4 linked regions of the Oryctolagus cuniculus genome follow. The protein of the gene in region 4 interacts with the protein of the main gene of each other region in a biochemical or structural test. Links are inferred from orthologs where the notes say so. Each region holds a gene or a part of one and is shown on either strand. Other genes may lie near its edges. The genes, in order: PDGFA, PDGFC, PDGFB and PDGFRA.

What was found.
Region 1: the proteins of PDGFRA (region 4) and PDGFA form a complex in vitro, tested with the Homo sapiens proteins (2 studies listed by BioGRID). The link is inferred for Oryctolagus cuniculus from reciprocal best matches to the Homo sapiens genes PDGFRA and PDGFA.
Region 2: the proteins of PDGFRA (region 4) and PDGFC form a complex in vitro, tested with the Homo sapiens proteins (2 studies listed by BioGRID and IntAct, with this or other methods). The link is inferred for Oryctolagus cuniculus from reciprocal best matches to the Homo sapiens genes PDGFRA and PDGFC.
Region 3: the proteins of PDGFRA (region 4) and PDGFB form a complex in vitro, tested with the Homo sapiens proteins (3 studies listed by BioGRID). The link is inferred for Oryctolagus cuniculus from reciprocal best matches to the Homo sapiens genes PDGFRA and PDGFB.

The regions. Positions count from the first base shown.
Region 1 is NC_091450.1:36,156,785-36,160,679, reverse strand, and holds the end of PDGFA (platelet-derived growth factor subunit A), read left to right. Parts: intron 1-1,363; coding exon 1,364-1,490; intron 1,491-1,579; coding exon of another isoform or gene 1,580-1,635; exon of another isoform or gene 1,636-1,648; intron 1,649-2,259; coding exon 2,260-2,369; intron 2,370-2,509; coding exon 2,510-2,515; coding exon of another isoform or gene 2,516-2,520; 3' UTR 2,521-2,986; downstream 2,987-3,895.
Region 2 is NC_091439.1:7,192,959-7,198,070, reverse strand, and holds the start of PDGFC (platelet-derived growth factor C), read right to left. Parts: upstream 3,097-5,112; 5' UTR 2,612-3,096; coding exon 2,494-2,611; intron 1-2,493. UniProt on the Homo sapiens protein: Growth factor that plays an essential role in the regulation of embryonic development, cell proliferation, cell migration, survival and chemotaxis. Potent mitogen and chemoattractant for cells of mesenchymal origin.
Region 3 is NC_091442.1:115,564,700-115,569,918, reverse strand, and holds the start of PDGFB (platelet-derived growth factor subunit B), read left to right. Parts: upstream 1-1,976; 5' UTR 1,977-3,551; coding exon 3,552-3,614; intron 3,615-3,695; exon of another isoform or gene 3,696-4,218; intron 4,219-5,219. UniProt on the Homo sapiens protein: Growth factor that plays an essential role in the regulation of embryonic development, cell proliferation, cell migration, survival and chemotaxis. Potent mitogen for cells of mesenchymal origin.
Region 4 is NC_091439.1:109,931,806-109,936,725, forward strand, and holds the start of PDGFRA (platelet-derived growth factor receptor alpha), read right to left. Parts: upstream 3,350-4,920; 5' UTR 3,234-3,349; intron 319-3,233; exon of another isoform or gene 26-318; intron 1-25. UniProt on the Homo sapiens protein: Tyrosine-protein kinase that acts as a cell-surface receptor for PDGFA, PDGFB and PDGFC and plays an essential role in the regulation of embryonic development, cell proliferation, survival and chemotaxis.

The sequences.
Region 1 (3,895 bases), on a different chromosome or scaffold from region 4:
CCCGAGGGCTGGGAGGGACGGGGAGGTCGGGGCGCAGCGGGCAGCCTGGGTCTGGGGGTCCCCGGCACCAGCCGCCTGTCTTGGGGACCCGGCCTTCCTGGAGCAGATTCTCAGGACTGCTCTTGGGGGAAAAATGCGGCCGCTTCCTGGCCAGACGGCCGCTGGAATCCCACGAGGCCCGGCAGGTGCAGTCGTAAATCGCTGTTTGTTTACCTTTGATAAACGGGGCTGTCTGGAGAGCAGGTTCCCAGACTGGGCGGCCCGAGGGTGCCCCAGCCAAGGGCACCGCGGGTGGCAGTGCCCAGCGGTCCTGGGAGCCCCCTCCCTCTGCCGCCCCCCTCTATGGGCGGAGGACGGGCCAGGGAGCCCAGGGCGCCCCGCCGAGGGACGGGAGAGGCCGCTGTTAACTGCCTGTGGACACAGAGGTCGGCGCCCCCGGCCCCAGCAGGTTGAGAGGAGGTTGAGAGGAGGGAGCCTAGGTGCTCAGCAGGGGCTGGTCGCCCCCTCCAGTCCCCCTGCCAGGGCTGTGGTCAGCACCCCCAGAAGAGGTGAGGGGGCTTCCTGATGGACGGAGGCTGGGGGTGGCTGGGGCAGGGCCGGCTTGCAGGAGCCCTGGGGGCCCAGGCTTGGCCTGTCCTAGCAGCCTGGTGCTGAGTGCGGCCCTGCCCCCACCCCGCAGGTGTGCGCCCCTTTGCTGGGTGGGGGGGGGCTGGGGCCGGCCTCTGCGAGCAGCAGGTGCCTGTCCAGGCAGCGGCTCCTGGGTCCGGGGGCCGGCCTCTCGCCCGAGTCCTGCGTAGTGAAGCTGCGTGCCGGCCCCCGGCCCCGCGCCCCACACACCCTGGGCCCATCCCCGGGCTCTGTGCTCGCCCGGGCGGCCCACACCGCTCCGCACGCCTGCCGGGCGCGCGGCACCCTTTGCCCTGCGGGTTAACCATTACTGCGGCTGCGGGGGGCCTGCCCAGGCCTGCTCCCCGGCTCTGGGGGCTGACCCTGCCCGAGGGTCGCGGGGAGCCCAGGGCTGCGGGGTCGGCGTCCCCTGCGAGTGACCGGGGAAGGGGCCTGGCCGGGCCTCGGGTTCCTTGGGGGCCTGGGACAGCTGCTCCTCGCCCACCCCCAGGCACGTGTGTGCACGTGGGGCGGGTAGGGCGTCCCATGACGGAGCGTGTGCGTGTGGCTGATGGCGGGTTCTCGGGTCACGGGTTGGCCATGCGCACGCGCGGGCGCTCCAGAAGCTTCCCTGTGGAGTGCGCGTGCGCGGCCGGCTTCGACGTGGGCCGCGGGTGGCCGGGGTCAGGGGGCGGGGCCGCGTGACGCACTTCCGGCGCGCGGGCGCTCATGGCCGTGGCGGCGCTCTCTCGGGCAGGTGGCCAAGGTGGAGTATGTCAGAAAGAAGCCCAAGTTGAAAGAAGTGCAGGTGCGGCTGGAGGAGCACCTGGAGTGCGCGTGCGCGGCCTCGAGCGCGGGCCCGGAGCACCGCGAGGAGGAGGCAGGTAAGCGGCGCGGGCGGGCCGGGCGGCGCGGGCGGGCGGCCGTGCGTGGCGCCCTGAGGCCGCTCTCCTGCCCGCCCTCTCGCCAACAGGAAGGCGTAGGGAGTCAGGTAAAAAACGGAAAAGAAAGAGGTTAAAGCCCACCTAAGGCGGCCGAGCAGGTAGGACGCCCGCGCCCGCGGGGCTCTGGTCGCGCCCGCCAATCGGCCTGGTCGGGCTGTGCTGTCGCTGGGCTGCGGTGTCCCCGCTCCGGTGCCGCCGCTGCTGCTCCTGCTGCTGCTCCTCCTCCTCCTCCTCCTCGCCGATGATCGGGGCGCTGCGGGGTTCGGGCAGCTCTGGGGGTCGTGCGGGGGTCGCCGCGGGCAGGCTGCCCACCCCATTTGACAGATGAACAAACTGAGGCTGGACCGAGCGAGAGGTGACCCGTGGGGGCCGAGCAGGGCCGGCGGCCCCGGGCCCTGGGCTAGGAGGAGACAGGCCGACCCCGCCCAGCGAGGGCTTCCCCACAGGACACCCCCTTCCCCGACCCGGAGGGAGCCGGCCAGTGCAACCCAGGTGTCTGCCTGGGCCGGGGCCCGCGGGGCGCACGGCCTGGGTCTGTCCCCGAGGACAGCGGGAGAAGAGTGTCCACTCGTGGCCCTGTGGGAGGTCTCAGGCTGAGGGCGGAGGCCCCTCGGTACCCGGGCTTCAGGCCGTGGGTGCTGCACCCGCTGGGCTGTGTGGTTGAGGAGGGGGTCCCCACAGAGCTCAGCGAGGCTCTGCCTGGTCACAGGGACCCTCCTGCCCGCGCCTGGTGGCGTCCATCCTCAGGGTTGCCTCAGAGCCCACGATGGCTGCCAGAGCTCCAGAAATCACATGCAAGCCCTGGGCTGGAAGAAGAAGGTAGGGGGCAGGGCGGAAGACCCCCTCCTGGGCCTCAGTTTCCCCCATCTGTGCAATGGGCGTCCGGACGCTGCACCGCGGCCGCCGTGTCGGCGACTTCCCGGCCGCGGCCCTCAGCCCGCCTCTCCCTCTCCCCGCAGATGTGAGGTGAGGGCCCCGGCGCCTCCTGGGACACGGATGTGCGTGGCGTGTTACATTCCTGACCTGCTCTGTACGGTGCTTCCTTGCCAGCGTGCCGTCTTTGTTCTCCTCCGTGGAACACCGCCCGAGGACACTCGGGGGAACAAAGAGACAGTGACCGCGTCCACGCGGGCAGCGGGCAGCCTCCCGGCAGAGCGCGGGGCAGACGGACCGCGGGCGGGGCCCCAGGTGCTTTAGCCGCCGCCGCGGGGCCGGGGAGCCGCGTGTGTCGACACAGACCCCTCCTGAGAGCCTTAAGTGGATTTTTTACACCATCGAGTGGTCGTCAGCCCCCTTTCTACTCGCTCTCCTCTCGTTTCCGTTTGTAACGACGCCGGTGGCACGCGAGGCTGCTGTGGCTGGGACGGCGCCCTCCGTCGGACGCAGACTAACGAGATGTATTAAATAAACGTGCTACACCCGCCTATGCACCATTCCCCGCCCGCGTCCGGCCTGCTGTGTGCCCGCCCGCGCCCCGCCCGCACCGCGAGCCCCGGCCCGGGAGCCAGCGGTGGACGGCGCGGGGGCCTGCCCGGGGGCACAGAGCGCGCCCTCCGTCTCCTGGCCGTGGGCGATCCTGTCCCCACGTGGGCTTGCCGGGCGGCGGCCGCCGTCCGGTGAGGCAGGCAGCAGCCCGGGACCGTGGAGACCCCTAGGATCTGACCCTGTGCCGCTCGGAGCCTCGTCCGTCACAGAAGAGTGGGGCCGGCTGGGTCCCTGGCTCCCGCACCTCGGCGGATGTAGACACTGGAGGGACGCGGCGCCCGGCCCTGCTGTCTGCGCCGGCGGCGCCCGCCGAGGCCGGCTCGCACCAGCCCTGACCGCCCCGCCCCGCCCCGCTCCTTTAGTGAGCCAAGCGCCTGTGCAGGGCTCCGTCCGCGCACCTGTTTGTGCTGTGTGGGTGAGGGGGGCCTGCCAGCCGGGGCGCCCACAGAGCAGGTTGGTCCGCGGCTGGACTGGCCTCAGCTGCTGCCCCCGGGCCTGCGACCCTCCCGCCTCCTCCCACGGCTCTGCGGTCGCCCCTGGGCCTCCCGTCTGCACCCCAGCGCCTGGGTCTGCCGAGTGGGCGTGGGGAGGGGCAGGGTGGCCTCCCAGCCTGTGCCCCACTCCTGGGCCCGGGCGAGCTGACCCCCGCCTGCAGGGCCCGTGGCTGTGCCTCTGCCCACCTGGCCGCCCTCCCCAGTCCTGCCCTTGCTGCTCCTCGGCGAGGGCCCGGGCCTGGAGAGCCGCCGACCCCTGCAGCGCCGGCTTTGGCTGACGTCTGCCCCGGCCTGGATCTGCAGCGTTCACTCTCGGGATGGACATGCGGGGGTCTCTCCCACTTGCAGGGGGAGGGGCTCGTGCCC
Region 2 (5,112 bases), about 100 Mb from region 4:
CCTCAAGAAGAGGAGTATCATGGGCCAGGGGTCTTAAAAGCAGGCTCCTCTCAGCACAACAGACACGTGGCCACGTCATGTTTAGTACTTAGAAGAGCTTTCACAAAACGAGCCATCTTCTAGCGAATCCCTCGGGAAAGATTCGTCCTTAGAGAACTGCATAAATGTCAAAACTGACGGAGCAACATGGCAATCAAATCAACCATAACATAATATGAGGGCCAAACATACCCATATAAGGGAATGGAAATTGTGAAGGTCAAAAAAAGAAGTAGCAGTAGTAGCATTTCCAGCAAACTACTGGGAACGACCACAGTCACATTCCATGAGGATCTTCAGCACCCACCTGTTATCCTCAAATCTTGAACCTTGAAGAAACATTGCAATCAACCTGAGCATGTGCAGAAAAATAGCTCTATGTTGCCCCCTAGTGCTGGTCAGTCCCACTGCTCCTTAGGCTACAAACTACAAGGTGAGTGGTTCCTCTACTTCTAGCTACTTCCTGCTGCCAACCCTCCCAAGAGCTAAACATAGCCCAATCCTCTCTCTGCCCACAGATTAGGAAACACCAGGCTATTTTTAGCACCATGCATCTTAGGAATGGAAATGGCCCAGCCTCAGATGGCAAGAGAATGTGTGTGGCCTGGCTTAATGAACTCACCTCTACTGAGGGTGTGAACTTACTGAGTAAAGTGGCCAATGGTTGCACGTGGCCTGAAAGCTCTGGGGCCCATTACAAAGCAAGGCTAGCACGTGGGTCACAAAAGAGAGCCACAAGGAAGGGACAAAGAGACAGGCTGCCACAGAGAGATGCCACAAGGCAGTAGGAGAAATGGTAGGGGACAATAAAAAAAAAAAGGAAAAAAATTATAGAAGCTAGGAATATTGTGCATTATGGTCATTCTAGACAGGCTTGTCTAGCAAGAAGGCATATTTTGAACTGGACGTTTATTTTATAAGAGTTAGAACAAAGGTTGGTCTGATGTGTTTCCTGCCTGGGTACAGCTGGTGCTTGGCTCCTTTGATCACTTTCCCCCAGTGCTCTGCAGCTCCTGTGATTAGAGATGGATCCTGGGCTGCCCTTTGATCAGCAGCTCAAGGGGCCTGCAGGTGCCATGTGCCATCACATTAGCAAGTTGCAAGAAGCAGCCACATTAATATTGACTGATAAAAGTGATGCCATGTCTCGCTGCCGGAGCAACAAACACAAACAATGTCTGTAAACTCCCAGGAACCCTTCTTTTATCTCTTTTCCTACCCTAGTACTTTCTGTGCTGCTTTTATGAAGAGCACTCTCTGGAACTTTGAAATAGCCCCACCATGGGAAGGAAACAGGACCGAGAGGTACAGCACACCCCCTTTTGAGGTTCCAGGTACACCCCTTCTGTTTATTTCTCCTGGTTAGTGCCGTGACAGCCTCCCCGCATTCTGAACAGATGACACACAAAGCAGAAAAACATGCACATTTCTTTTCAAATAACAGTAAGAGCCACCACTTGTAAACAGGGTGTTTAATATTCCAGTTTTAGACAGCCTACATTAACATTGTGGTTTCATGTGCAGTATAAAATTTCTATTTACAAAGTCTACTCAAAAATGACTTCATAATGGCAGATCAAGAGAAAAAGAGTTTAGAAATTGAATGATGTAAATCATATGGGGTTCAGAGGCTAAGCAAATTACACACCCTGGAGCTGCCCCGGCGGTATGAAAGGAGCCTTTCTCCAGCTCCGTGCAATCCCAGCCCAAGGGAACTTGCATCTGAGAGTTTTCTAAACATTTCAGGTACACTTGAAAGCTGAAAGTAATTCTCATTTCCTATGCAGGATTAAGTCGTTTCCAGCACACACAAAATAGCAGTCATTCACTTACACATACAAAAACACACCACCAGAAAGGTAAGACTTCAGAGTACAAAGGCAAGGCACGTTAAAAAAGAGAGAGAGAGAGAAGAAAAGAAAGAAAAAAAGAAAAAGAGAGAAAGAAAAACTTGGGAGCGCAACAGAAGTACTTTTTTAAATCTGCCCTAAAAGGTGCGCATCAAGGTCTCTCGACTGCCGTACCTCCTACCTACTTACTGATTCATTGATGCCTTTCCATCTAAGCCCCCCTCGCACCTCCCACAGCCCCCAAAACCTTGAGTCAAGTCCAACGGGCCAAGACTCATTCATTTCAACTTCGTTTTTAAAGGCAGCTCTCGATCTCGTGCCGTGAGCCGGAGCCGCCACGCGCGTTCCGCCACCGCTCCCGGAAAGGCCCCCTCTCCGGGGCTGCAGGGGCACGCACGCTGCCCCCGCTGCAGCTGGGTGGCAGCCCCAGAAAAGTTGCCAAGCACACGTTAACCCACCTCCCGCGAGCCCGCGCCAAGGGCCGGCCGCGCGAGGCGAGAGGGCACCCTGGCGGGCTGGGGTCCCTCTCGCGCCCGCGCGCGGTGCCCACGTAACGCACACGGCGAGCGCAGGCAAGGCGCACGGTGGGGGGGCCCCGACTCACCGTTCTGCTCCTTGTTGCTGGAGAACTGGAATTTACTACTGAGGTTGGACTCAGCCTGAGTCCCGGGTCTCTGGCCGGCCAGGGCAGATGTCAGCAGGAAAAGCCCGAAGAGGAGCATTTGGCTGAGTGGGGCGAGCGCTCACGCACGGCGGGCACAGGGCAAGCAGCGACTCCCGAGTCTCTCTCACCGCCGCCAGGGGAAGGCTGCACTGGGGTGGAAGCGCCGCGCCTGCTCTGGCAGCAGAGAATCGCAGGGTAGTTTCCACATAATCCCATCCAAAACTTTTTCCTAGAGCCCTCTTCTGTGTCTCCAGTTTTTTGAAAAGGATCAAAGCAAAACCTGGACCTGAACCAGTTTCCCAAGGTTTAAACAAATCCTGAGCTGTGCCGAAGTGGTGGGGGTGGGGGTGAAGGCGAGGGAGGAAAGAGGGGGGTGGGGACGCGGGGGAGCCGGGGGAGCGGCGAGGAGTCACCAGCGAGTCGCTGGGAGCACCTGTCAGTGCGGGGGCCGCGACGCAGGCGACCCCTCCGGGCTCGTGCGGAGCCGGCCTCCCAGCCAAGTCCGCGGCCAGCAGTTTCGGATCGATAACAAAGCTGCCGATCGATGCGGCGCCGCGGGCGCCCCTCTCCCCCGCCCCACCCCCACCCCCGGCGGGGGGAGGGGGAAGACTCCAGGCGAGGGCGCCGCGGCGGGTCCCCACGCGCGCCGCGGCGCCGGAGCGGGGCTGGGGGCTCGGGGTCGAGGCCGCCCCGGGCGCAGGCGGAGGGGAGGCCGCGGGGGGCTCCCGCTCCGCGCGCGGGCGCGCCGCCTGCGCCGGGTCCCGACCGCCGCAGCACGAATCCCGGCACCTGGCTTGAGTGTTTTTTTTTCCAAAGTTCACCTTGTCCGGGCGCGTCCCCGGCTCCTCGAAGCCCTGGGAGGGCGGCTCGGCCGCTCGGGGTCACCGCGGGGGGCTGCGCTCGCTCGCCGCCCCCTCCCCCTACGCCTCGGGCTCGGCGCTAAGCTCGGGGCGCGGCGGGCGCGGCGTCTCCGCACGGCGTGGAGAGGAAAGGCCCGGGCGGCCGGGAGGCTCCGGCTTGTCCCCTCCCCTTCGCTGCCTTCCCCCAGCCGGGCGGCGGGCGGGAGGTGGGGGCCGTGGGCCCGGCGCGGGCGGCGCGAGGCCGAGCCGCTCTCCCGCGGGCGGCCGTGGGGGGCGGGCGCGGGGCGGCAGCCTGCGGGGGGCGCAGCCCGGACCGCGTCCCCCAGCGCCGGCGCGGGCCTCCAGCTGGCGGTCCGACAGGTGCTGGCACGGCCCGGCCCAGGCCGGCGCTAGGGGACCCGGAAGGACCCCCGCTGGGGAATGCCGCAAGGACGCCCCTAACCCCAGAGCAGAAGCAAGACCAGGACCAGGATTGGGGCGAGAACTTCCTGCAACTCGCATTCCACCCCTACTGCCTGGAGCCGCGACGGGTCCTGGTTCATTTCCGAGGGGATCCCCTCTCCCAGAGGGCTTGGCCAGAGTCTCCGCTCTGAAGCCACAAGGGAGATTGAGGTCAAAGACTTCCCTGCAACCTAACAGGTCCCTGAAGCAAGATGAAGACAGTCAAAATGATCGCATGCAGTCAACAAATAGTACCACCGTGCTCACTGTGTGCCCGCTGTGCCACGCACTGCTGCAGGAGCTGGCGCGGTAGCAGCCACAACAGGCAAAAATCCCTGCGCCTGGGAAGCGGGCATGCTGGTCGGACAGCCTTGGATTATGGCCAAGAGGATGTCTAGAACCACCCAGGCCTCAGTGTTTGTCATTCCTAAAATGCAGCCTCTCAGAAAACTAGGCTGTCAGGAACCCCTGGCGGTAGAATTGTTTACCTCTCCAACAAGAGGGGTTAGCACCTAGGTCCGCCTGTTGCACGTGTCCCAGGCAGGTTTCTGGGGTGCGAAAGCTCTTAGGAGGTTGTCTAAAACCAGGTCAGCAGGGCCTATATAGGGGTTCCACGTTTAATGCAGGAGTCCGTGGCGGCTCCTGGGAGGAGCAGAAATCCTTAGGAAAGTGTTGAAGGGACAAGCGCCCCCTTCCCCCAAAATAAAAGAGACACGTTTGGAATAATTTTTAAAAATCAAAATTCAAAAGGAAAAATCATTGTCAAGCAAGTTCAGTGGCAGGCAAGTCAGAATTATCTCCCACCGTGTTGGTGGGCAATTCGGTGCAGACCATGCCAGTTCGGTGGCCAGGGACACTCAGGCTGGGCGAGAGGATCAAGAGAACAGTGTCCCTCAGACCAAGGAGTAGCGTCTGGTGAGAGACATATGCCCACCAGACCAAACTAGGAGCTGAGTCTCTCTCAGCTATGCTGTGAATGCCAAGCCCTCTGATTCCACCTGAGATGGACTGAAGCCAACCAACCAGACTGCCCTGCTTAGAATATTTTAGTCCTGGGGCCCTAGGTTAATCCTCCACCTGCGGCCCCGCATCCCATAGAGGCACCAGTTCTAGTCCTGGCTGCTCCTCTTCCTGTCCAGCTCTCTGCTGTGGTCTGGGAAGGCAGAAGAAGATGGCCCAGGTCCTTAGGCCCCTGCACCCGCATGGGAGACCAGGAGGACACACCTGGCTCCTGGCTTCGGGTCAGTGCAGCTCCGGC
Region 3 (5,219 bases), on a different chromosome or scaffold from region 4:
CAGGGCCGGGCCAGGGGCTCGGTCAGGGCGCTTTCTCTGAACGCGCAGTTCCAACAGCCCCTGGCCTTGGGCGGGCCCCCTCTGGCAAGGATGGCCACTGGTTCTCCAGCTTGGGGTAGGAGAGCAGGCGTTGGGGGGTATGGGGTCTGGCTCCCCCCTCTCAGCCCGTCATCCCTCCTGGTCCTATCGGAGAACCTCATGCTACAAGCACCCGCCCTCCACCCCTTAGGGAGGGCCTGGCAACTTTGTACCCGCCGGGACCCACAGGCAGACACAGGCAAGGCACTGACTCATGGGCAGACATTCAGTGAGCAACAACTGAACGCTGGGAGCTGGGGCGAGGCCCCTGCTCACCCTGAACTCCAGTCTAGTACTTGGCTGATACACCAGGCAAAGACCAGAGCAAGCAGCAAGCCTGGCGAGCTTCCTGGAGGAGGGGCCCGTGCACAGACACATCTGGACTACAACGATTTGTGTGTCTGCATCACTCAAGGCCGTAGGACATGTCTGAGCAGCAGGCTGGGGTCCCTTCCTCCAGGCAGCACCCCTGCTGTGCACCCCTGAGGCCGAGGACAGATGCTCAGCCGCACGGCATTTTCCCATGGATGTGTTCAAGGCCCACAATGTGGCCTCGTGGTCATCCTGCCGGGCAAGAGCACGGCACGTGGGCTCTGTGGCTGCACTGCTTGGGTTCGAGTCCCGGCCGCGTGACCCCTGCGCTCCCACTCCCCACCAGGAGACAGCAGCCCCCTATCTCACAGGAGCTGTGAGGCCGCCACGGCTCGGTGCTAACAACGGCAGCCACTCTGGTGCCACTTTCAGGTAAGGACGCAGGAGGTCAAGGTCGCTCAGCTGGCTGGTGGACCGGCTTCCGTCTCAAAGTCTTCGAACCCAGTGCTTCGGGAGCTGGCCGCCCATCCTCCCACTCACCTTCCTTGCCCTCCTGCCTCTGTCCGGCCGAGCCACGGGCCTCTCCGAGCCCCACGGCTGGTTTGCTCGTGTGCCTGCAGCAGTGCCTGGCCCCTGGCGAGCGCCGCGAAGCTGCGTTGACAGCCTTGTCCCAGTTCCTGCACGGGACCCCTGCACGCGTGATCTCACGGGAGCCGCCGACCCCTCCACGAGGCGGCCAAACCATTCGTGGACAACGTGTGTCGAGGTGTGGCAAGCTGCACCTGTCGGTTCTCACGTGGGACTCCACCACGCAACCCCAGGGGACCAACACTCCCCGTCCCGCCAAGCGGCCCCTGGCGTCTCCGCCATCCCTCCCATTATATAAGCGTCTCGGATTACACGGGAGGAAATCGGGGTCCTCCCAGGTTAAACAGCCGGCCCAGGACACCTGCTCAGCTAAGTGGCCACTCCAGGCTGGGAACCACCACAGCGACCTGCCCCAGGCTGCGTCTCGGCCACCGTGACACCCGTGTGGCTCCGGGGTGGGTGCCTGCCCTCCTCCGGTCCCAAGAAAGCGGCTCACGAAGAGACAGGCCGTGCACGTGTGAGGCGCTGGCTGCCACCCCAAAGAGGCAATGTTTGGGTACAGATGGCAGACAGAGACAGCAGCAGCAGACAACCTAGAGGTGCCCTGGCGTCACGAGACAGCAGGGCGCAGTGAGCCTGCGGGCCCCGCGGTGGGTGCTGGGCTCGGCGTGTGCGCGTGTGACTCCGTGACTGTGACAGTGTGGCTGCGAAGGCAGGGACATAGCAGCTCCCCAAGCTGGGGGCGGGAGGCGTTAACTGCGTGCATGCTGGTGTGGGCGCATGGGCCCCCCGGCCGGGCACCCCGGGGAGCCGAGGGAGGTGGTACACAGGGTGACAGGAGGCGCGGGATGGCGGTCCCGCGGGATGCTGCAGGCGTGTGGGGGTTTGTGTGACTTTGCAGTTCAACACACTCGGATGCAGCCAACGCTGGCACGGCCGCTCGTGTGCCAGGCAACCAGCTGGGAGGAGGGAACAGAGGCCCAGCCTGCAGCTGAATGGTGCTGGCTGCCGCGGCGTTGGTGTGTTCACCTTGTGGCTGCCTCCTGGCTGGCTGTTTTTTTGCCCTTTCCAGCATTTAATCCTCACAACAAGCCTATCCGCCCCCACCCCCGCCGCCGCCACTTTGAGCACAGGAGGGAAGTGACTGGTCCAAGGTGACCCAGCCTGGGACCCAGGGGAGGGTCTCTGAAGGCAAGCCACAAGCCACGGAGCTGGAGTCCCGTGCGGCCAGCACGCCTGCGCCGCCGGCGTGCCAACCGCTAGTCCTTAGGCGGGGCGGGGGCTTCGACTCCTGGCCCTGGCCCTGGAGACATCCCACCCCCAACAACCACGTGGGTCCCTAACCTGTCCTTGGTGGCCAGCCCGAGGGGCGGGGCGCGTGGGCTCCCCTAGTTCTGTCCGGGGGCCAGAGTCAAGGGCGGAGGGGCTCCCGCTCTCTCGGAGACCCCCGCGAGCCCGGCCGCGCCCCAGGCCCTCCCGAGCTCCCGCCCCCCCTCGCCGCGCTGACTCCCGGCCAGAAGAGGAAAGGCTGTCTCCACCCACCTCTCGCACTCTTCTCCTCTATAAAGGCCGGAACAGCTGAAAGGGTGGCAACTTCTCCTGCAGCCGGGAGCGCCCGCCTGCCTCCCCGCCGCCTCCCCGAGGGCTCCCCTCCGGCCGCCAGCGCCCATCTTTCCCCTCCGAGGTAGAGGGATTTTGCGCCCACACCGGCACACAGGCGCGCAAAAAGGAGAAAAAAAAAAAAGAAAAAAAAAGGGCCCACCTTCCAGCCTCGTTGTAAAGAGAAGCCGGAGCAGCCGCAGCTCGCACGCAGAGGACGCCCGGAGCCGGGAGCAGGCAGCCGGCGGGCACACGGACCGACGGACTCGCGCCGCGTCCACCTGTCGACCGGGCCGCGCCGAGCGCGCAGCGGGCACGCCGCGCGCGCGTTGCCGCCGTGCCCGCCGCCCGGGCCCCGCGCCAGGGCGCACACGCTCCCGCCCCCCCTCCCCCCCTCCCCGCCCCGGCCCGGGCGGGAGTTTGCACCTCTCCCGGCCTGGGTGCTCCGGCCGCCGCTGCAAAGCCAACTTTGGAAAAAGTTTTTTCGGGGAGACTCGGGCTTTGAGGTGCCGGGCCCTGCGCTTTCCGATTTGGGCGACCTCTCCAGAAGATGTTGCAAAAAAGCTAGGCCGGCGGGCAGAGGAAAACGCCTGTAGCCGGCGAGGGAAGACGAACCATCGAGTGCCGCGTTCCTTCTCTAGGAGGTTGGAGTCCCCGGGGCGCCCCCACACGGCTAGACGCCTCGGCTCGGATCGCGACGCAGCCCCCCGGCCGTGGATGCTCGCGCGGGCTCGGGATCCGCCCAGGTAGCGGCCTCGGACCCAGGTCCCGCGCCCAGGTCCTCCCCAGCCCCCCAGCGACGGAGCCCGGGGGCCATGCGGGTGAGCGGCGGCGGCGGCTGCAGCGGCCTGAGCGCCTGATCGCCGCGGACGGGAGCCGAGCCCACCCCCCTCCCCAGCCCCCAACCCTGGCCGCGGGGGCGGCGCGCTCGGTCTACGCGTCCGGGGCCCCGCGGGGCCGGGCCGGGAGTCGGCATGAATCGCTGCTGGGCGCTCTTTCTGTCTCTCTGCTGCTACCTGCGTCTGGCCAGCGCCGAGGTGAGTTGCGACGGCAGCTGCGGCTGGTTCTCTCCATTCATTGCCCCCACCCCCACTCCTGGCCGCCCCTCCCCTCCCTGCAGTGAACTTTGGACCCTAGCAGCAGGGCGAGCCCGCTGACCTCGGAGGGCTGGGGCCGCAGGTCTGGAGGTGCCGGGCTCCAAGGCGAAGGGCGCAAGGGCGGCTTTCTTTCCCACGGGCGTAGACCCTGCGCCTTAGGGCGCCTGGGGAGGGTGTGTGTGGCCGTGCCCCACCCCCACCCCGCCCCACCGCTCAGGTTCCTGCAAGCGAGCCCTCGCCCGCCGAGGGGAGAGGGGTGGGGTGCCGCCGAGGGGTGCGGAAGGCTGCGCGCCCTTCCCAGCCACTTGGGCCTCAGCCTCGCTTCGGCTCGGACCGGCACCCGGCCGGCCCAGGAGGCGCGAGCTAGCGCCCCCCGTGGCGTCCAGCCGCCCCTGGGCGAGGGTTCGGGTCCCGCCCTGGCCCCAGCTCTGGGTCAGGGTGGGCGTCCGCAGGCAGGCGCAGGGCATGCTTGGCCCCAGAGCTCCGTCCCGGCGGAGAGGGTTGTGTCCTGGGTGACGGGGACCGGAGAGACAGACAGACACGAGTAGGTTCGGGGCACTGGGGCGCTGCGGGTAGGGGAAGGACCGGGGACGCTCAAGGAATCCAGCCCCGGGGCGGCGCGTGCCTGAGGCCCCGCCATACCTGCGCCCGCGCCCTGCCAGAGGAAGCACCTCTCTCCCCCGCAGGCAGGGTGCGGAGCGCGCCGCCCGCAGAAGCCTGGCTGCAGGGGAGGGGGTGTACGCACGTCTGCGCGAGCCGCCGGTCGGATCGGCCCCCGCCCCCACCCCCTCCCCCAGGCTCACGTAGCCGTGAGTTGGCAAGTCTGCCCCGAATCCAGGTGGGAAAGGGGGCGGGGCAGGCTGCAGGCTCGAGGTGGAGCGGGAGGGGCGGCGGGCCGCGCGGCGGGCCGGGGTCCCGTCCCGCCTCCGCACCTCGCCGGCTGCGGGGGAGGACCGGCCGCGCGGGCCTCCCGAGAGGCGCAGGGAGGCGGCGGCAGCGGCGGCGAAGGGGTTAAGGCGGAGGGCTCCGAGGCCGCGGCCGGGCCTTGGGCCGCCGCCAGCGCAGGTTGTTTTGACCACGGAGGAGCCGTCTCCTTTTGTTCTCGGGGCTCCTCGAGGGCCGCCGGCCGCCCGCCCGGGGGCCCCGCCCTTCCGCGGCCGCCCCCCGCGGCCCGCACCCGGGAAGGAGGACGCGGGACTCGGCCTGGCCGCCTGCAGGCCCCTCCCGACACCCCCTCCCCGCCTCTCCCGCAGCCCCCCGGGCCGCGGCCAGCTGTTGGGGAGGGGGGCGCCGGCCGGCCCCAGCTGCCGCCTCGCTTCGCCGCGGGACCTGGGGGCTGGGCCCGGTGCCAGGGCGTCCTGGGAACGGCGGCGCCCCGCGGCTGCTCGCCGCAGCCCACCCCGCCCGGCCCCCCGACTCGCTCACTCACCCCACGCATGCACACTCCTGGCCGGAGGCGATGCTGCGCTCCGGCAGGCGGGCGCGCCGAGCGACGGGCACGCACTACCGCGGCCAGGTCGCGCGCCCGCCGCCGCCACGCCCGTG
Region 4 (4,920 bases):
CAAAAATCCCTTTTCTCTCCCTTACCTTCTCCTCCGATGTCACTCCACAATGAAAATCCTACACATGGGGTAAAAAGTGAGTCCACGGCCTGCGCTCTGCGCCCGCTGTCGCCGCCTCTGTTTCTGCGCCGCTCGCTCCCAGCGTAATGAGCTCAGAAACCGCGTTTTGTAATTGATTCAATGTTATAGTCCATCCTTCTAAAACTAATCATTTGCTCTAAGTAAATAGCTGTCAGGAAATGAAGCCCCCCCCCTTGGCCTCTTCAAAATAAAAGTTTCCCCGGAGCTCCCTGCGCTCTGAGTCTCTGCATCTCCGCGCGGCGCCCTCGCCTTTTGCTCTTACGCAATCAGGGGGTCCAGTCCCAACCCCCGATTTCGACAACAACTGGGGAGGGGAGGGGGCGGGGAAGCGGGCCAGATGGGGTGGGGGTGGCGTCAGGGGGGAGGTGTCGCCGTTCTGCCGGGAAAGAGGGTTCGTGAGCCTGCAGAGAGCCCCAGCATCACCAGAGCCACTTTGCCTCGCAACCCGGGGTCTGTTTTCTGGCGCTGCAAATAGTTTTGTATTCTCTTTGAAAAGAACAACAGGAACACATAAAACTCCGAGTCCGCGCCCAGAGAGAATATAAATCTGGAGTGAGAGATGTCCCTTTCGTACTAGGCTCCTGGCCCAGCTCGAAACGGGACCCTCGGGAGCGGTCTCCGAGTGGCCGTGCCGTTTTGGGCTGGAGGTCTTTGACGGAAAGTGCGGAGGAGCTGCTAATCCCTTAATGGGATTAGGCAAACTGCCGAGTCGGATGGGAGGATGATGGGTTTTTCAAAGGCTGGGTGGAGTCTGAAGTGGGGTCCAGAGAATGGAGGGTCTGTGTCGTCCGCCGGGGACGGTCTTCCGCAGGGCGACCTTTGCGCCCTCGCAGCCACGTATCTCGTTGCGCCTTTGTTTTGGGGTTATCTGGGCGAGGCCAGGGGCCCGGGGGCTTCGGCCCGGACGTCGGGGCGGTGGTCTAGGCAAGCCCGCGCGCCGCGTGCGTCCGACTCTGCCCGTGCCCCCGGAGTGGCCAGCGGGGCTCCTAAGCCAGCGCCGCCCGACGCGAGGCCCGGGACGGCGCCGGGAAGGGACGATCCTGCGCGCGAGGGAAAGGGGGCGCTGGCGCTCCAGCAACCGGAGCCGGGCGGAGCGGGGCTGCGGAGCCGCGGTGGGGGAGGGGAGCGCGTTCCCTCCCCGGCTCGCCCTCCTCCCCAGCTCTCTCGCCGCGGGCGGGCGGGGGGCGCCAGCCTTTATCCTCCCTGGCGCGCGCGCGCGCGCGCGCGCACTCAAAACGGCTCGGGCGGGCGAGCAGCTCCCCGCACGTCGAGCAGCCCACACCTCAGTGCCCGGGAGGGGCTCGTCGGCAGCGGACAGGCGGGGTTCGCCGAGCGGGGCTTCCAGGGGCGCAGGGTGGCAGGCCGGGGCCTCCGCGCGCCCGCCTCTCGCGCGTCCTCAGCCCGGGTGACTGCACGGCTCGCTCGCTATTACTTCCACATGTTCCTTCAGGAAGCCGTGGCAGGCAGATATATGAACAGCCCGTTGTTCGGAATGCGCACAGGATACCGTAATGCTTGTAGAAAACGAACGGCCGCTAGCTACCCGCCCACCCCCCAGAAAAAGCAACCGGGGGCCTCAGACCCCGGCCTCGCTGGGACGCCCCTCAGGGGCTCGGCGGCAGACGGCGACCTCGCGGGTCGCTCCGGAGCCGCTCGCGGGGACCCCCGAGGGGCGTCCCGGGGCCGCAGCTCCTCGGGAGCCGACAGCGGCGAGAGGGATGCGCCGACGAGCCTTGGCTACCCTCTGGTAGCGATTACCTGCCTAATTTGAACGCTGCCTTTGTTGCGATCATTAACAAACGGCTGCTAAAGGTTTCCATGTGTGACATTCTCCCAGGTTGAAAGGCCCGGGGCGCTGACGGCGCGGCTAGCACCCCGGTGGGGGGCGGCGCAGGGTGGCAAATGGTCGGGGGGCGGCGGAGCCAGATTTCGCCCGCTGCGGACGGACGGAGCAGAGGCCGAAGGGGCTGGCCATCTGCCGCCCCCTGGAAAGCAAAATAAACCCGGTGGCCGGGCGCCGCGGCGGGCGGGAGGTCCCCGCAGCCAGGCGGCGGGGGTGGGGGGTGGAGGGGCGAGGCCAGCGCGCCCCGCCCACGCTCGCAGCCCGGTCCGCACCGCGCCATCCGCCCTGCCCCGGCTCCGGCGCGGCCGGGGTCGCCCTACGCTCCTTCCACGTGGCTCCCTCGACGCCCAGGGCCCTGGGTGGTCTCCGGGCTGCAGCCGGCGGGAAGTGTGGCCTGGCCGGGGCGGGCTGCGGGGTCTTGTCTCCCTGACCAGGGCTGTGGCCGAGGCGAGCCACGGGGGACAGGGCGGGGGTTCACGCCTGCGCCCACCCGTGCGGGGATCGCGACTTTCGACCTCCTGGGCGCTTTTCTGGAGCGTCCATGGAAGAGTTAAGAATGAGGCTGCCCGCGCCAAAGCAGAGCAGGGGCCTGCGTGGGGCCGCGGGCGTTGGCCTTGGCCTGGCGTGTCCGGGCGGGCTGGACGCAAGGTTAACGCGAGGCCCCGTGGAGGAGCCCGGCCTGCAGTGCGGGCCCCGCCAACCTCTTGCAGCGGACCGCCTTGGGCCTTGTAAACAAAAAAACAACTCCGGCCCGGCCCGGCCCCGCCCTGCGCTGCCCGCGGGTCTCTAGCCCTCGGCGCCCAGGACCGCGGGGAGCGCCCGCGGGCCGGGCCTGGGCCTCGGGGGCGTGGCCCGCGGAGGGGGCCTGGGCATCTGCTCCCCACCCCCACCCCGATCCCGTCTTTTCTCCTGGAATTCGCGATGTCCCGTTGCTCTCTGAGACTTCTGAAGCCAGGCCGTTAGTGGGGAAAACCGCATTGAAGCAAACCTGTGAAGTTGTCTTTCCCCACCCCCAGGGACGCCGGCGCGGGGGGATGGGGGGCGGGGCGGGATGGGGGAGGTCTCGGCTCCGGATTTGAAAAGCAAGGGCCGTTTGGTGGTTCGCGGGAGAGCGCGGCGCTGACCGCCCCACTCCCACCCCTGGCCCTCCCGGCTGCAGCTTCCGGAGCCCCCAGCCCCTATGCTCGGGCCCGCCCCCGCAGAGGGGTCCATGGGTTCGGGGTTCACAGGGCCCCGAGGCTTGGCCCGCAAGTGGGGCGTGGGCGACCTGGAGGGCGTTCACCCCGTCTCGGGCGCGCGCGTCGCTCACCTCCAGTTGCCGCGGTAGCCAGGCCCGAGGGTGCAGCGTCTGCCTTGGGCTCCTTGGGGGCCCTCCTTCCAGGGGCGGCTGTGTCAGGGGTCCTCACGCCGCCGCAGGCTGCCCTGGGTGCAAGGCCCCGAGCTTGCGCGGTGGTCCAGCGCGGCTGGGGCGGGCTGCGAGCCCCTCGGAGCGGGCTCTTGGGGACCCCAGCTTCCTGGATTTAGAGATGCGATGGTCCCCCTTCCTCCCAGCGCCTTCTTAGGCCTGGGGTTTGTGTTGCTTTTAATTTGAAAGCCGGCGTGCGGGAGGCGGGGGCAGGGCGATGGGGAGGTCTGCAGTTTATTAGGGGCCTCAGCCGTCCCGTTCTGCAGCACGCAGCTGTGGCTGGGGAGGGAGGAGGGCTGGCTCCGGTGAGGTCAGCCTGCCTCTGGAGAGGGGGCCTTGTGCTCTCGGAGCCCCGCGGTGGAGGGAAAGGAAGAACTGGGCGGAGGGGCGCTGCCGCGCGCAGTCAGGTGGGCCCGGGCCCACTCCACGGAGGTCCTCAGAGAACATCGCAAGCCAGCGAGGCAGGCTCCCGATCACCATCCCAGAGCACTGGGATTTCACGCCGGAAGGACTCACTGAGCGCCGGCTGCCCAGGGCTCTGCAGCGGCGAAGCCTGGGTGAGCGGTCAGTGAACGCCAAGTGGCAGTGCTGGGCTCCAGCGAGGCTGGAGGTGCGCGGTGATGTCACAGCGCACAGGAGAGCGGGCACCAATCGGAGGCCCCTGGAGGCTTCCTGCAGGGGAGGCCGCATCCTGGGGAGCCTAGGAGGGTGACGCTGGGGAGCAGCCTGTGGAGGTGAGCAAGCCCCTGAGGTCAGCGGGAGGCGAGCGAGCGAGCGGCTGGGCAGAGGGGACTTCTGGGAGGCAGGGGGCCTTGTGCTGTGATCAGAGAGAGGAGGGAGTGGGCTGGAGTGAGGGAAGCAGCAGGCACTGCGCTGGCAGGAGATGGGGTCCCTGGTGTGGACAGGGGCTGGTGCTATGTTGAGGAACAACCAAGAACAACACAATCAGGAAACAAAATACTTCTAGCTTGAAGCATTTGAAAAAGCCACTAGGGCAGGTGTTGGGGCACACTGGGTTAAGCCACCACCTACAATGCTGGCACCCATATGGGTGCTGGTTCTAGTCCCAGCTGCTCCACTTCCCATCCAGCGCCCTGCTAACGCGCCTGGGAAGGCAGCAGAAGATGGCCCAAGTATTTGGGCCCCTGCCACCTACATAGGAGACCTGGATGGAGTTCCGGGATCCTGGCTTTGGTCTGATCCAGCCCCAGCTGTTGCAACCATTTGGGGAGTGAACCAGCAGCTGTAAGATCTCTATTTCTCTCTCTCTCTCTCTCTCTCTCTCTCTCTCTCTGCCTCTTTGTAACTACCTTTCAAGTAAATAAATACAAAACAAAGAAGAAAATCCTGGAGAGAATCCGTCGGCAGAGAAGACCCTGAGAATCCGTCTCCAAATAGTCAGCTGCTGTCTGAACCCACACAATGAGAGGTGGTTGAGGTTAGAGAGCTACCTACACTGTGCACTGGAGCCAGGCACACCTGATGGACTTGTGTTTTAGGAGTCATGGTGCAAGCACAGTATTTCGGCAATAAGGTTGTCCAAGCTATGGTCATAGCCACACCTGTACTCCGTGATCGCCCGTGATACCCC